Pelodiscus sinensis: one gene and its partner. The protein of the gene in region 1 interacts with the protein of each later gene in a pairwise test. Links are inferred from orthologs where the notes say so. Each region holds a gene or a part of one and is shown in the gene's direction. Other genes may lie near its edges.

What was found. The genes of interacting proteins can lie anywhere in the genome.
Region 2: the proteins of BCAR1 (region 1) and NPHP1 interact in a two-hybrid assay, tested with the Homo sapiens proteins (2 studies listed by BioGRID). The link is inferred for Pelodiscus sinensis from reciprocal best matches to the Homo sapiens genes BCAR1 and NPHP1.

The regions. Positions count from the first base shown.
Region 1 is NC_134722.1:47,958,813-47,966,821, forward strand, and holds the start of BCAR1 (breast cancer anti-estrogen resistance protein 1), read left to right. Parts: upstream 1-4,962; 5' UTR 4,963-5,110; coding exon 5,111-5,122; intron 5,123-8,009. UniProt on the Homo sapiens protein: Docking protein which plays a central coordinating role for tyrosine kinase-based signaling related to cell adhesion. Implicated in induction of cell migration and cell branching. Involved in the BCAR3-mediated inhibition of TGFB signaling.
Region 2 is NC_134713.1:196,721,176-196,729,120, reverse strand, and holds the start of NPHP1 (nephrocystin-1), read left to right. Parts: upstream 1-4,933; 5' UTR 4,934-5,047; coding exon 5,048-5,116; intron 5,117-6,694; coding exon 6,695-6,768; intron 6,769-7,945. UniProt on the Homo sapiens protein: Together with BCAR1 it may play a role in the control of epithelial cell polarity. Involved in the organization of apical junctions in kidney cells together with NPHP4 and RPGRIP1L/NPHP8. Does not seem to be strictly required for ciliogenesis.

The DNA.
Region 1 (8,009 bases):
CGGTTCTCTCGGGGCAGCCTGGCCTTTCTGAGCCCGGCACGGGAGACCTGGAAAAGACGTTCCTGCGTGCGCAACGAGGCCGGATCTCTCTAACCCGCGGCCATGGCCCCTGGGAACCCTTGGCCAGCTGTTTGGTAGCAGCGCTGTTGGGACGTGTCTCGGCTCCCGAGATAAGATCCTTTTCAGGCCAGCGGCCCGCGCAGCCTCCCCGCGGAGTCCCCTGCTCCCCCAGCCCCGGCAGGATCCCTTTGTCGGACGGAAAGGGGTCGGGGAGTGGCTGACGTCAGCCCTTTGCCGGGAGCCAGGCCTCGCCGCCGGGGCTGGGAGCGCTGTGTCGTGGGGCTGGCTGAGCTGGGGCTGGGATTTCATTTCCCCTCCCTGGCAGCGGCATGGTGCCGTCTCCCTGGGGCTCTGCTGTGCGGGCAGTGCAGGATCAGCTCTGGGGCAGGCTGGCTTCCTGCTCCGCCTGGCAGAACCCGCCCGCCCCGCCTAGGCCGTCTTTTCAGCCGTCCTGCCCACAAGCTCAGCCCGACGTCGGGTGTAACTCACCGCCATGTCAACGGGCCGGGCCTGCGCCTCTCCCTGCAGCATAACCCACCTCACCGGGGACCCTCCCGATAGCCACTAGTGGCCGTTTCCATGGACTTCAACCGAAGCGAGGCACACAGCTCCTCCTGCTCTGACAGCTCAGGCCGCCACAGGAGACTCTCCAGTAACTGCCAGCAGTAGAGGGCATATGACACACAGAAAATCAGAGAAAGACAGACACACCAGGTAGGTCTTTACAACAGGAAGGAAAGACTCCCGAGCAAACTCCTCTCTTGGGGGGCTGATTTAGCAAATGAGGGGGCTGTAAGGAGCAAGGGGGAGAGAGAGAAAGGAATGGCCCCCACCAGGCACTCAGCCCGCTGCTGGGCCTCGCCTGTGCTGGAGGGTGGGGAGGGCCCTGCCCTACCACATGCCGGGCTGCAGAATAGCCTGCCTCCTGATCACAACAGCAGCCCCTGTGCTCAATTCCTGCAGGGCCTGCCCCCTTCCCGCGGGGCCTGTCCCCTTCCCGCAGGGCCTGCCCCCTTCCCACAGGGCCTGTCCCCTTCCCGCAGGGCCTGTCCCCTTCCCGCAAGGCCTGCCCCCTTCCCGCAGGGCCTGTCCCCTTCCCTCAGGGCCTGTCCCCTTCCCGCAGGGCCTGCCCCCTTCCCACAGGGCCTGTCCCCTTCCCGCAGGGCCTGTCCCATCCCGCAAGGCCTGCCCCCTTCCCACAGGGCCTGTCCCCTTCCCGCAGCGCCTGTCCCCTTCCCGCAGGGCCTGCCCCCTTCCCACAGGGCCTGTCCCATCCCGCAGGGCCTGCCCCCTTCCCACAGGGCCTGTCCCCTTCCCGCAGGGCCTGTCCCATCCCGCAGGGCCTGCCCCCTTCCCACAGGGCCTGTCCCCTTCCCACAGGGCCTGTCCCCTTCCCGCAGGGCCTGTCCCATCCCGCAGGGCCTGCCCCCTTCCCTCAGGGCCTGTCCCCTTCCCACAGGGCCTGTCCCCTTCCCACAGGGCCTGTCCCATCCCGCAGGGCCTGCCCCCTTCCCACAGGGCCTGTCCCATCCCGCAGGGCCTGCCCCCTTCCCACAGGGCCTGTCCCATCCCGCAGGGCCTGCCCCCTTCCCTCAGGGCCTGTCCCCTTCCCGCAGCGCCTGCCCCCTTCCCTCAGGGCCTGCCCCCTCCCGCAGCGCCTGCCCCCTTCCCGCAGGGCCTGTCCCCTCCCGCAGCGCCTGTCCCCTCCCACAGGGCCTGCCCCCTCCCGCAGCGCCTGTCCCCTCCCGCAGGGCCTGTCCCCTCCCGCAGGGCCTGCCCCCTTCCCTTAGGGCCTGTCCCCTTCCCGCAGCGCCTGCCCCCTTCCCGCAGCACCTGTCCCCTCCTGCAGGGCCTGCCCCCTTCCCGCAGCGCCTGTCCCCTCCCGCAGGGCCTGTCCCCTCCCGCAGGGCCTGCCCCCTTCCCACAGCACTTGTCCCCTCCCTGCAGGGCCTTCCCCCTTTCTGTAGAACCTGTCCCTTCCCGCAGGGCCTGTCCCTGCCCCCTCCCGCAGGGCCTGCCCCTTCCCGAAAATAACCAGCGTAGCGGCTTTGCGCAAGAGGGTTTTTCTTGTGCAAGAAGGGGCCGTGTAGACAGCTCCTTGCGCAAGAGCCTCTTCTGCAAACATGGCGGCTCATTAGATATGCAAATGAGGCTCGGCGATAGTCCACGCTTAGCCTCATTTGCATATCTCTGGCGCAAGATCGCCCTGTGTAGACATAGCCACAGTGGGATGAGTCCCACGTTTTCATGCAGGACAGCGGCCTGGAGAGCGGTGTTACGTAGATTCCGGTAGCACGGAGGAGGCCCGGGTGTGCCGGGCGCTGTAGGAACACAGGAGCCACAGCGATCGCTCACGCAGCCCAGACAGACAGCGTGTGGCAGGACAGTTTACTCTTCTGGGCAGGGGCTGCGCACCCCTGTATGTGTGTACAGCTCCGAGCACTCCCTGGGCCATTAATACAATTCATGCCAGCCAGGCGTTCAGCCTCCTTACCCCGGCTCCCGGCTCCCGGCTCCTCGCCACTCTGGGCCGTGTGTCCCCCATGCGCACCTTTCAAGGCAGTCTCCAGGGCTCAAATTAGGTCTCAATTGGACTGGGCCAGCCAGTGCCAGCCCCACCCCCACCCTGGCACCACCCAAGGGCTTGTGGGGGGGCTGTAGTGGAGCATGGTGATTCTCTCACCCCCCCCACGCCTCCTCCCCCAGACCCTGCTCCCTGGCAGGCAAGCGGGTGGGAGGTGCCAACTTTTCTCCCCCCCCCTTCGTAGAATCATAGAACTCCAGGGCGGGCAGAGCCCTCAGGAGGCACCGAGTCCAGCCCCCTGCCCACGGCTGGACCAACCCCGACTCAATCAGCCCAGCCAGGGCTTGGTCAAGCTGAGACTTACACACTGCCTGGCACCGTTGGCCTTTTAGCTAATCCGCCACCGGAGGCTTGTTTTTCCGAAGGGGGGGTCAAATCTGTCCCTACGTGTCCCAGTAAACACCGCTGGCCACGGTGCACGGGGCAATGCAGCTCGCAAAGCCGGCTGCAGCCGGGAGCGATGCTCCAGCCCCCGGGAAGTTGTGTTGCTTTACTGCGGTGAGCGCTGCAAACTCCTGTGGCCACAATTCGATCAGTGCGTAGGCGAGCGCTTCCTGGATGAACCGCCCTGGGGTAAGGCCCCATAGATGGGTACAACGGGTCTGCCCAGGTCTCTCCAGCACCGTTCATGGGGTAACAACTCACCCCTCACACACACACACGGCCCCGTGTCACACGCACGCACACGCAGCCCTGTGTCGCACGCGCGCACGCACATGCAGCCCTGTGTCACATACACGCACATAGCTGTCACACACGCACTCACACACAGCCCTGTGTCACATGCACACACAGCCCTGTCACACACACAGCCCCGTGTCACACACACGCATGTACACACAGCCATGTCACACACGCACTCACACAGCCCTGTGTCACATACACGCACACACACAGAGCCCTGTCATACACACAGCCCTGCGTCACATACACGTGCGCACACACAGCCCTGTGTTGCACACACGCACGAACATACACAGCACTGTGTCACATGCACAGCCGTCACACACATGCACAAACACACAGAGCCCTATGTCACATACATGCACCCACATGCACGAACACACACAGCCTTGTGTCACATACATGCACACACACACAGAGCCCTGTGTCACACACACGCACAAACACACACAGCCCTGTGTCACACACACGCACACAGCACCATGTCTCTCTCACACATACAGCCCTGTGTCACACACATACACGAACACGCACAGCCCTGTGTCTTTCTCTCTCTTACACACAGCCCCATGTCACACACACACACACTCACACAGTCCCATGTCACACATACAAGCGTCCCGTGTCACACACACACACACACCCCTGTGTTATACACTCGCAGTCCTGTGTCTCACACACACACACACACAGCCTCGTGTCACACACATCCGCATGAACACACACATATAATCCCATGTCACACATGCAATCACACACACAGAGCCCCATCTCATACACTCACACACACACAGCCCCATGTCTCAAATACACACTCACAGAGTCCCATGTCACACACGCAGTCTCGTGTCACACACACATACAGACAGGCAGTCCCATGCCACATACACACAAACGCAGCTCCATGTCACACACACACACACATACACATGCACGCAGTCCTGTGTCACACACATGCGCGCACACACAGCCCCGTGTCACACACTCACACGTGCACATGCAGCCCTGTGTCACACACACACACAGTCCCGTTTCACACACTCATGCACATGCAGCCCCATGTCACACACACGTGCACACACAGTCCTGTGTCACACACACGCGTGCACACACAGTCCCGTGTCACACTCACACACTCACATGCAACCCTGTGTCACACACTCACACATGCAGTCCCGTGTCACACAACCACAGGCGCATAAGCAGCCCAATGTCACACACTCACACATGCAGCCTCGTGTCACACACTCACGCGCACACGCAGCCCCGTGTCACACACTCACAGGCGCACGCGCAGCCCCGTGTCACACACTCACACACTTAGCCCCATGTCACACACACAGGCGCACATGCAGCCCCGTGTCACACACTCACACACGCAGCCCCGTGTCACACACACACACACGCAGCCCCGTGTCACACACTCAGGCGCACACGCAGCCCCGTGTCACACACACACACACACAGCCCCGTGTCACACACTCACACACGCAGCCCCGTGTCACACACTCAGGCGCACACGCAGTCCCGTGTCACACACTCTCACACGCAGCCCCGTGTCACACACTCAGGCGCACACGCAGCCCCGTGTCACACGCGCAGGGCGCCCCCTGCTGCCGGCGGGCGGGCGTGCGGAGGGCGGCGCTGGGGGCGGGCTCGCTGCCCAGCCCAGCCCAGGCGGCGCGGCGGCCAGTCGGCCGGGGGAGCGCTGGGGTGCGGAGCTGCCGAGCCGCGCCGAGCCGGGCCGCGCCGCCTGGGCCCGCGGCGGGGCCGCCGGGGAAGATGAACTACCTGGTGAGTGCCCCCCCCCCCCCCCCCGCCCGCCGCGGCCCGGCCCATCCCCGCCGCCTCCTGGCGCCGGCCCCGGCCCATCCCCGCCGCCTCCTGCCGGGCAGCCGGGCCCCGCTGGCAGCTCCGGGCCGCCCCGCGGGACAATGCGGAGCCGCGGCCGCGCCGAGCGCCCTGCCCCGCACGACGTGGCACGGAGCGGGCGGCCCCCGGCGCCGGATCGGGCCCCGCAGCGGGCCCGGGGAGGGTCATTCGCCGGCCCAGAGCCCGGCCGCGCCGGGGGCCTGCGCTGGGGGTGGAGCCGGGGCTGGGGCCGGGCGTGAGGCTCGGTGCGCGGCGAAGCGGCTTTGTCCTTTGCGGGAGAGCGCGACGGACCCCCCTCCCCCCCCGTGATGAGTTGGTTGGGTCTCAGGCCGGGCCCCTAGCTGCTCAGTCCCCCCCCCCCCCCCCCGACCCCTGTGTTGAATTGGTTGGGTCTCAGGCCGGGCCCCTAGCTGCTCAGTCCCCCCCGACCCCTGTGTTGAATTGGTTGGGTCTCAGGCTGGGCCCCTAGCTGCTCAGTCCCCCCCCCCCCCCGTGTTGAATTGGTTGGGTCTCAGGCTGGGCCCCTAGCTGCTCAGTCCCCCCCCCCCCCCGTGTTGAATTGGTTAGGTCTCAGGCTGGGCCCCTAGCTGCTCAGTCCCCCCCCCCCCCCGTGTTGAATTGGTTGGGTCTCAGGCTGGGCCCCTAGCTGCTCAGTCCCCCCCCCCCCCCGTGTTGAATTGGTTGGGTCTCAGGCTGGGCTCCTAGCTGCTCAGTCGTCCCCCCCCCCCCCCGTGTTGAATTGGTTGGGTCTCAGGCTGGGCCCCTAGCTGCTCAGTCCCCCCCCCCCCCGTGTTGAATTGGTTAGGTCTCAGGCTGGGCTCCTAGCTGCTCAGTCCCCCCCGACCCCTGTGTTGAATTGGTTGGGTCTCAGGCTGGGCCCCTAGCTGCTCAGTCCCCCCCCCCCCCCCGTGTTGAATTGGTTAGGTCTCAGGCTGGGCTCCTAGCTGCTCAGTCCCCCCCGACCCCTGTGTTGAATTGGTTGGGTCTCAGGCTGGTCTCCTAGCTGCTCAGTCGTCCCCCCCCCCCCCCCCCGTGATGAGTTGGTTGGGTCTCAGGCCGGGCCCCTAGTTGCTCAGTCCCCCCCCCGCCCCCCGTGATGCGTTGGTTGGGTCTCAGGCCGGGCCCCTAGCTGCTCAACCCCCCCCCCCCCCCCCCCCCCCCCCCCGTGATGAGTTAGGTCTCGGGCCAGGCCCTGGTGCTCGCTGGACTGGTGGCCCAGACCCGGCCGTAGGCTCCGTGCCCCGGTGCCAGGGCGGGCATGCACTGTCCTTCCCCGCTGCCGGAGCCGTCTCATGCCAGCAGCGGGCGCAGGTCCTGGCTGGCCCGAGGGGTGCCTGGGATGGGGGCCCCGCCCGGGGACTGGGTTCCCAGCCAGGGGCCTGTCCCAGCGGGCAGCCTGGCTGCGACCTGGGCATATGTCCTGAGCATTTGTTCCCCCCTAGGATCCCCTCCCCCAGCATGGGCCGCTGCCCTGCCCCGGCCCCTAGCGCCTGCCAGCCCCGGCTCTCGGGGCTCTGAACCAGGGCCTGGTGGCCAAGATGGCCCAGAGGTTCCCCGGACACTCGGCCCCTTCATCCCCCCGAGGGCAGGCAGGGCCGACTCTGGCTCAGGTTGGGCCCGGGGCTCGCAGAGGAAGTGACCTGCCTGGAAGTCGTGTGGCACATCCGGCCGAGCACCGGACTTCCCCGCCCTGCTCTCCCCACTGGCCGGCGCTCCCTCCCTGACTCGGCCCCATGGGACAGGGGCAGTGCCCCCTGCTCCCACCCAGCTGGCGCCTTCCTGGGTCACCCCCCGGCAGGGCCTGCACCCTGCGATTGAGCCAGGGTGCTCTGGCACTTGGCACCAGCCCATGACAGCCAGGAGGGGGTGTCACCAGGCACTGCCCCCTTGCTGGCCCCGGGGGCAAGGGAGGAGGCCCACAGCGCCCTGACCCACACTGGGCCCTAGGCTGCCTCTCCCCTCCCCCCCGGCTGTGTGGGTGCCTGGAACCAGGCTGTCCAAGCTGGGGGTCTGGCAACATTTGACCATCGGGAGCTGGGTCTGTGCTGGGCAGGGGGCCCCGAAGCCTGTTGGGGGGGCCGGATTCCCCCCCCCCCGTGAGATTTGCCACTGGCAATAGAAGGGGGGAGGGAGCCGTTGCTGGAGGAGGCCACGTGGTGCCAGGGGCCGGCGGGGGGGGAACTGGCACAGCCGGTGGCTAGTGGCAGAGCGTAAGTGCCCTGCCCGCCTGCGTCAGCGACGGCGTTAATGATTCACCCGGCAATCAGCCTTCGGCCTGGCGCAGGGCCCCGCGGGGGAGGGGAGCGACTCCTGTCATGCTACAGCAGAGCGGGGGCAGGGACCCCCCCCCCCCCCCCCCCCGCAGCACTTGGAACCCTTGAGAGGAGACGCCCCCTTCGGCCAGGGCCTGCCCCCTGGCTGGGGCCGACCAGGGCTGGGGGGGATCTTCCCAGGTGGCGGGGGTCACAGACCCCTTTGGCAGTGCCCACGGCGGGGGGGTGTCTCTGCGCTGTGGGAGCTGGTGACGGCTTAGCTGGCTGGTTCCCCTGCTGTGTTCGGGGTTCTCTGTCCAACCCCCTTTGCCGCAGATTTGCCCCGGTGAGCGGAAAGGTGGGGGGGGATGGGGCGGTCGCCTGCGTCTCTGGGCAGCTGGTTCTGCCATGGCCGGGGGGGCTACCAGCCCCCTCGGGGCCATTCTCCTCCCTGGGCCTGGTTCCGACGGCAGGCGCTGTGGGGCTGGGCGGCCTGGTGCTGCGGGTACGTCCAGCGCCACGTGCGGCCGAGCCCCGAAGGCGACTGTCACCATCCA
Region 2 (7,945 bases), on another chromosome or scaffold:
ATGCACTCCTGGCATTCCTGTATATCTCAGTCTTCTCAGTCTTTTGACTCTTCTCTGCTTCAAAATGTAGTGAAACGATATCAGTCAAATATTAAATGTACATAGACCATATATTTGAGATTATTGCCACATGGTTTATTACAGCAGTCTCTAAATTCCTTGCTGAATTGTAGTGCATAAATCTAAATGCCTTTGGTTACTCAATATTCTATCTCTCTTCTGATTTTATTTTATTTTGGAATTATAATCTGGCTGAACATTGTTTTGACAACCCTTTTCAATTCAAATAAAAAAAACCAAAAATGTGAAACTATGTGCAATTTCTAATTTATTTCATTTTCTTTTAACAGCCTTATGCAGATGAAAGCTGACAACAGAATGAAAGTAACTGGACTCATGCTGCATTTGTATCTAAACACTGTTTAAAATATGGACTTTTGATAAGCAACTATATTCTAAAAAGAAGGCATCTGTGGTGTAATACAATCTGATTTGCCAAAACGGACATCAGCAGAAGTTAATTTCATGTGTATCAGAATAATCTGTCTACAAAAATGTTATGGGGTGAGCTTAACTAATTCATACATATTATGACTATGCAAATTAAAAAATCAGAGTTGCCACATTTTTAAGGGTGGTTCATGTCTATTTTGTTTTGCGATTTGTAAGACTCAGCCTGGGGTCTGTTTGCCTCTTACCTTTTAACAAATTAAACTAAAAATGGTATAATTTACTTACTTGTAATTTTGTAATAAAGTCTCTTAAGCAGGGAGTGAAAACATCTAAAGATTCTAGCATTAAACATTTTAGGTCTTCGAAAGTAGACAAATCAAAAGGCTCAGTCAAAAAGAGTAAGGCAAAAGCATACCGTCATACACTATGTCAAATTCATGTATTAAATCAGTAATGCTGGGTTTCTTATCTGAAATGCAGCAAAAAAATACTCATAGAATTCTATGTCTAGATCTCTTACTAGCTCCATCACTAAGAATACATCAGAATACATACTTACTACTCCACATAATCACTTCCAGCAAAGATGCTGGACATCATGAATTGAAATCCTGGGGCCTTCCTTTTGGGCTTCAGGCTACATCTGGGTCAACTATCCCTATCTTTCTGTCACTTCTGTGCATATGTGCACAACTTTACCTTCCCCAAAATCTCCTAAACAGTGCATTTTTAGATGATTCTATTTTGTTCTTTTATCTTTATAAGCAGGTGCCAGCTCCACGCTGTGCCAAAATAGTTAAAGGCTATGTCAGTTCAGAATTCACCCCTGCCCTTAGCTTTGCCTTTATTAATTAGCTAATACTAAAAGAAAATAAAAAACCCAGAGAGGCTCCTTTCTCATGCCTTCTCCCCAAGCTTGGCTGCTCTTATGATTTTTCTCTTAAGACTGATGAGGCTTAGACCGAGTCCCAAACTGTTTACTAAGGTGACCCATCCACTGCATTTTCTTTCTTTTTGCAAGCCACCATTCCATATATGCACCCTCTGCCCTTGCGCTGTAATCTGAATCCTGGCCCAGTGCAGAGGAAGCTGGGGGCAAGGGAGGTTGAAGAGCAAGCCCACACTGCACTCACCCCTCTTCTATGCTCTCAGCTTTATGTGTAATGACCTGTTGTGTTACAGCACCACTCAAGTTTGGGGGGTGGCCAGGCTTTGTGACTCAATGTGTCTGGTTGCAATCACTGAACTAGGCAGCCAGGCCCGTTTTCGCAGGACAGAACCACCACTGTGGGATGTGGAGGGGACAGCCTTGCTCTCCACTCCCCCTCCTGTCTGCATCTGGCTGGCACAGTGTTGCTACGTCTAGACTACATTCCTTTTTCATAAAAGGGATGTAAATTAGACGTATCGCAATTGCTAATGAAGTGGGGATTTAAATCTCCCCCGCTTCATTAGCATAAAAATGGCTGCCGCTTTTTTTCGGCATGGAGCTTTGACGGAGAAATGCGCCAGTCTAGACGCTGATATTGTGGAAAATAAAGCCTTTTCCGAAAGATCCCTTATTTCATAGAGGGATAAGGGATCTTTCGGAAAAGGCTTTATTTTCCTCAAGATCAGTGTCTAGACTGGCGCTTTTCTCTGGCAAAGCTCCATGCCGAAAAAAAAGCGGCAGCCATTTTTATGCTAATTAAGCGGGAGAGATTTAAATCCCCGCTTCATTAGCAATTGTGATACGTATAATTTACATCCCTTTTACAAAAAAGGGATGTAATCTAGACGTAGCCTGTGTGTTACCTGGTTCAAGTCCCAGTGATGGGTTAACCTGGTCCTAGACACAGTGATTCATCTAGAATCTTCATGGGAACCACGATTTGGGAAACAATGGCTTAGATGTCTTTATCTGGGGGCTACTCTCCCTTCGCTTACATCCAGAATTAAAGAGTCGCACCTGTCACAATGAAGGAAGTATTTAAACTAATATCTCCCATCAGCTTTCTAATACCTTCTAACTTAATGGGTACACAAAAGAACCCAGCTGTCGTATTACAGTGCCATTCAGAATCTTGAAATGTTGACTTACCCAAGTTGGAAATCTTGTGGCCTTGATGTCTGAGATGTAACTCGCTTACAGAAGTTTCCTGTGTAATGCTGTACCAGGCATCCTATGCAAAATGGAGCTGAGGTCAGGTAGTTTAGTGTCATTCATTGGAAGATATGGTTCATGTGCTAGCTCAAACTCTGCACTACTGTCATGTTTAAATATTAATTGTATTTATTAATAAAAAATTGGGTGCTTTAATTTTTTGCACTGAATTTGTATATTTTTAATGCAGGACAATGTAGCACTTTAAAGACTAACAAGATGGTTTATTAGATGATGAGCTTTCGTGGGCCAGACCCACTTTCTCAGATCAGTTTTGATCTGAGGAAGTGGGTCTGGCCCACGAAAGCTCATCATCTAATAAACCATCTTGTTAGTCTTTAAAGTGCTACATTGTCCTGCATTTTGCTTCAGCTACCGCAGACTAACACGACTACATTTCTATCACTATTCTATATTTTTAATGTGTATCTAGGATTTCTGAAAAAAGTAAAAAGGAAGAAAAAAGGTACATGATAGAAATGACAATTTGGGATTGCTGTGTAGTGGTTTGAATAATTCTTTGGATACAGCAGTGTAGTTTTTCTAAATCTGGTGTTGCATACATCAGTGTAATTAATCATTTTAATATGATTACAAGAGAACTTTTTTATGCCTTGTTAATAACCCTAAATGTGTTTTTAAAAAATCATTAAAGAAAAACAGTAATCCCTCCTGTGGAAAGTGCACATGTAGTTAAGTGGGAGGAGATCAAACTATCATCTTGGAACTTGACAACACTCTTAATTCTGTGTACATCTCTCTTGAATTTCCTTATGTGCATGAGAAAGTCAGAGGGAACAATTTTATACATCACATGCTAGGAAAAAAAATCCTCTGTATGTGTCAAAAGCTATTTAGAAAATAAAACTGCTTCTTCCGGGGCACTATAGGTGTATATGAGAGAGGTTCCATCAAGTGCAGGGATGAAATGTCTGTCTGCAAACTGCCTAGCTGTGCAGACTAGAACACCATGGAGAGAAGGCTCTCGTTTTATAGCATGGTGAGTCCATCCTGTTCCACGACTAAGGCTAAGTGCTGTGACAATATTTAAAAGTTTGGCAGAAAGTTAATTTTTAGTTTGTATAATTTTGATGGGTAGTGTAATTGCAGATGTTTAGTTCTGCCCATTTTTTTCCAGTTTGTAGCTATTTGAAATGTATACTAATCACCAGCCACACCGGAAACACTAACCCAGGAACCAATCTCTGCAACAAACCCCATTGCCACCTCTGTTCATATATCCATGCTAATGACTAGGGCTCAACAAACCGCTGAATCTACTTGCCCGTGGCGAGTAGATTTCAGTAGGTTGCTCCGAGCGCCCCATTCATCAGCGCTTTGCGCATGCGCAGTGGGGTGCTGGCAAGTGGCTCTCGCTGGGGTTTGTCAAGCCCTGCTAATGACATCACATTAGTAGACATGCAGGTGAACAGGCCAAACCTGGGATAGGTGCAGTAATGGCTATTAGCCAGGATGAGCAGGGATGGGGTCCCTAGCCTCTGTTTGCCAGAAGCTGGGATGGGTGCCAGGGCAGGGATCACTTGAGGTTTACCTGCAGGCTGTGTCTAGACTGGCATGATTTTCCGGAAATGCTTTTAACATCTTTTCGGAAAAGAGCGTCTAGATTGGCAAGGATGCTTTTCTGCAAACGCACTTTTTGCGGAAATGCGTCCGTGGCCAATCTAGACGCGCTTTTGTGCAAAAAAGCCCCGATCGCCATTTTTGCCATCGGGGCTTTTTTTGCGGAAAACAAATCTGAGCTGTCTACACTGGCCCTTTTACGCAAAAGTTTTGCACAAAAGGGACTTTTGCCCCAACGGGAGCAGCATCGTATTTCCGCAAGAAGCCCTGATCTCAGACAGTAGGAAGTCAGGGCTTTTGCGGACATTCAAGCGGCCAGTGTAGGCAGCTGGCAAGTTTTTCCGGAAAGGCGGCTGATTTTCTGGAAAAACTGGCCAGTCTAGACACCTGGCTTGGGCCAGGCAGGACGCTGGGCGAGGTGCTCTCGTGGGCCAGCAGCGCCCCCTGCGGGCCAGCCTGTGTCTACACCCCGCAGACACTGGACGGGAAGGAGACGCGCAGCCGAGAGGGGGGGAGGAGGGATCTTGAGACGCCAGACGGCGCAGCATCCCTATGTGGGTGCCCCCCCCACTCGTCAGGGGCTGAAACCAGCGCCCCCCGCTGAGCCCCCAAACGCTTCCAGGCTCCGACCTGCCAGGCAGCGCAGACTACAGCCCCCAGCCTGCACCGCGCGCCGGCCTCCCAAAGGGAAGGCGGCTCTCGAGCCCCCGCGGCATGCTGGGAGTTGGAGTCTGAGACGCGCGCCAGCCCCGGGGCATGCTGGGACGCCTCTAGCTCGCCGCGGTCCGGGCTCCCCGCCCTCAGCGGTGGCGGGCGCGCGGCGATGACGAACGATGCCCCGCGCCCGAAGCGTTCGTCTCCTTGGCGACGATGGCCGGGCGGAGGGGCCGCAGCCCGCTGCAGGGGGCTCAGCGGCGGGGCCGCGAGCTGCGGCGGCAGGTACCGGCCCCTCGGGGGGGATCCGATCCGGGCAAGGGGAGCGGCGCCCCCTGCTGGCGGTGGGGGGATCCGGTCCGGGCAAGGGGAGCGGCGCCCCCTGCTGGCGGGGTGGGGGGATCCGGTCCGGGCAAGGGGAGCGGCGCCCCCTGCTGGCGGGGTGGGGGATCCGGTCCGGGCAAGGGGAGCGGCGCCCCCTGCTGGCGGGGTGGGGGATCCGGTCCGGGCAAGGGGAGCGGCGCCCCCTGCTGGCGGGGTGGGGGATCCGGTCCGGGCAAGGGGAGCGGCGCCCCCTGCTGGCGGGGTGGGGGGATCCGGTCCGGGCAAGGGGAGCGGCGCCCCCTGCTGGCGGGGTGGGGGATCCGGTCCGGGCAAGGGGAGCGGCGCCCCCTGCTGGCGGGGTGGGGGGATCCGGTCCGGGCAAGGGGAGCGGCGCCCCCTGCTGGCGGGGTGGGGGGACCCAGTCCGGGCAAGGGGAGCGGCGCCCCCTGCTGGCGGGGTGGGGGGATCCGGTCCGGGCAAGGGGAGCGGCGCCCCCTGCTGGCGGTGGGGGGATCCGGTCCGGGCAAGGGGAGCGGCGCCCCCTGCTGGCGGGGTGGGGGATCCGGTCCGGGCAAGGGGAGCGGCGCCCCCTGCTGGCGGGGTGGGGGATCCGGTCCGGGCAAGGGGAGCGGCGCCCCCTGCTGGCGGGGTGGGGGATCCGGTCCGGGCAAGGGGAGCGGCGCCCCCTGCTGGCGGGGTGGGGGGATCCGGTCCGGGCAAGGGGAGCGGCGCCCCCTGCTGGCGGGGTGGGGGATCCGGTCCGGGCAAGGGGAGCGGCGCCCCCTGCTGGCGGGGTGGGGGGATCCGGTCCGGGCAAGGGGAGCGGCGCCCCCTGCTGGCGGGGTGGGGGGACCCAGTCCGGGCAAGGGGAGCGGCGCCCCCTGCTGGCGGGGTGGGGGGATCCGGTCCGGGCAAGGGGAGCGGCGCCCCCTGCTGGCGGTGGGGGGATCCGGTCCGGGCAAGGGGAGCGGCGCCCCCTGCTGGCGGGGTGGGGGATCCGGTCCGGGCAAGGGGAGCGGCGCCCCCTGCTGGCGGGGTGGGGGATCCGGTCCGGGCAAGGGGAGCGGCGCCCCCTGCTGGCGGGGTGGGGGATCCGGTCCGGGCAAGGGGAGCGGCGCCCTCTGCTGGCAGGGTGGGGGATCCGGTCCGGGCAAGGGGAGCAGCGCCCCCTGCTGGTGGGAAAAGTCCAGTCCAGACAGGGGAACAGCACTCCCTCATGGCGGTGGGGGGAGCCAGTCTGTGCAAGGGGAGCAGCGCCCCCTGCTGGTGGCGTGGGTGGGATCCAGGCTGGGCAAAGGGAGCAACGCCCCCTGCTGGCAGGGTGGGGGGATCCAGGCTGGTAGGCGGTGTGGGGAGATCCAGGCTGGGCAGGGGAGCAGTGCCCTCTGCTGGTAGGATGGTGGGGTCCAGTCTGGGGAAGGGGTGTGGCACCCCGGATGTCATGGTTGGGGTTGGGAACGTTTCTTGTTTGATATCTGAGCCTCCAAGCCCATCTTCCCTGTGCTGTGCATCTCTGAATGCTGAAATCTTACCATGCAGGTGGATGAATTGCTTGCGGAGAGCAAGGAGAGGAGGGCCCTAGATCCTGCGAGAAGGAAGTACCTTTTTCAGAGGTAATTAATCCTAGCAATACACACGGCATAGAGGCAAAATGCACCGCTGGATCTGAAATCCAGGCTGGGACATGCGGGTAATATTTGTGAAGGGCTAAGCTGTTTGTCATTGAGGGATAACTGCAGCTGATTTTGATAGAAAGTTCCCTAAACAATTTTGCTATTAAATTCATCTTCAGTGATGTGGAGGGATGCCCATGTAAATTAATTATGGGGATTGGAAAGTTGAATAGTGGGCTCGAAGCCAGGAGACATAGGTTCTAGTCCCAGTCTTGCCACTCACTTCCTCTCTGTTTCCCCATCCATACAGAGAGGATAACTATCCTTCCTTTGTACCTGTCCTTTGTTTTTTTATCCAAGGATCAGAAGCTTCTGCTGATGAATCTAATATAATTATTTTAGAATTTTCAGTTAAACTAAACATGAAATAAAAAAATATATTCTGAAGTGGCAAGTTTGAACTCCCACGTCAGGCAATGGAAAGTGTAAAACAGGAGAAGCTGATGCAGTTCCTCTTGTGGAATTATTCTAGGCAAAGTTCGGAGGTACCTCTATGTGTGATTCTGTTCTGTGGAAAAATACATATGGATCCCATGTGCCTTGCTTTCTTTTTTAAATCAAATACATGGTTTTAAAAGTTGCAGTCTCTTTCTGCTTCTGGGGCAGATGATGTTGGGGTTAGCCTACCATGAGGCAAATACTCATTTCTTCTAATGCTATTATTTACATAGCACTAAAAACACACACAGAGAATTTAGGAAGGCAAAGTTCCTTTCCTAAGGGGCTTAAAATCTGTGCACTCGAGTAACCCCATTGACTTTAGTGGGACGACTTATGTTTGTAAAGTTACATATGTGTATAAGTACTCTGAGGTTATGTCTACACTACAAGCTTCTTTTGGAAGAAGCTTTTCTGGAAGATCTCTTCCAGAAAATCTTATTTCGAAAGAGTGTCTACACAGCAAAAGTGCAACGAAAAAGCGATGAGCTTTTTTGAAAATATCGTCCACATTAATTGGACACTGTCTCGCATTTAAGTTGTGATTAGTCTGGATGGAGTGGTTTTTCTGGAGGCCCTTCTTTCGAAAGAGCTCCCTCTTCTGCATCCATACACACCTTTTTCCAAAAAAGCTTTTTTGGAAAAAGGCTTCTTCCCCGTGGAATGAGGTTTACCGCCA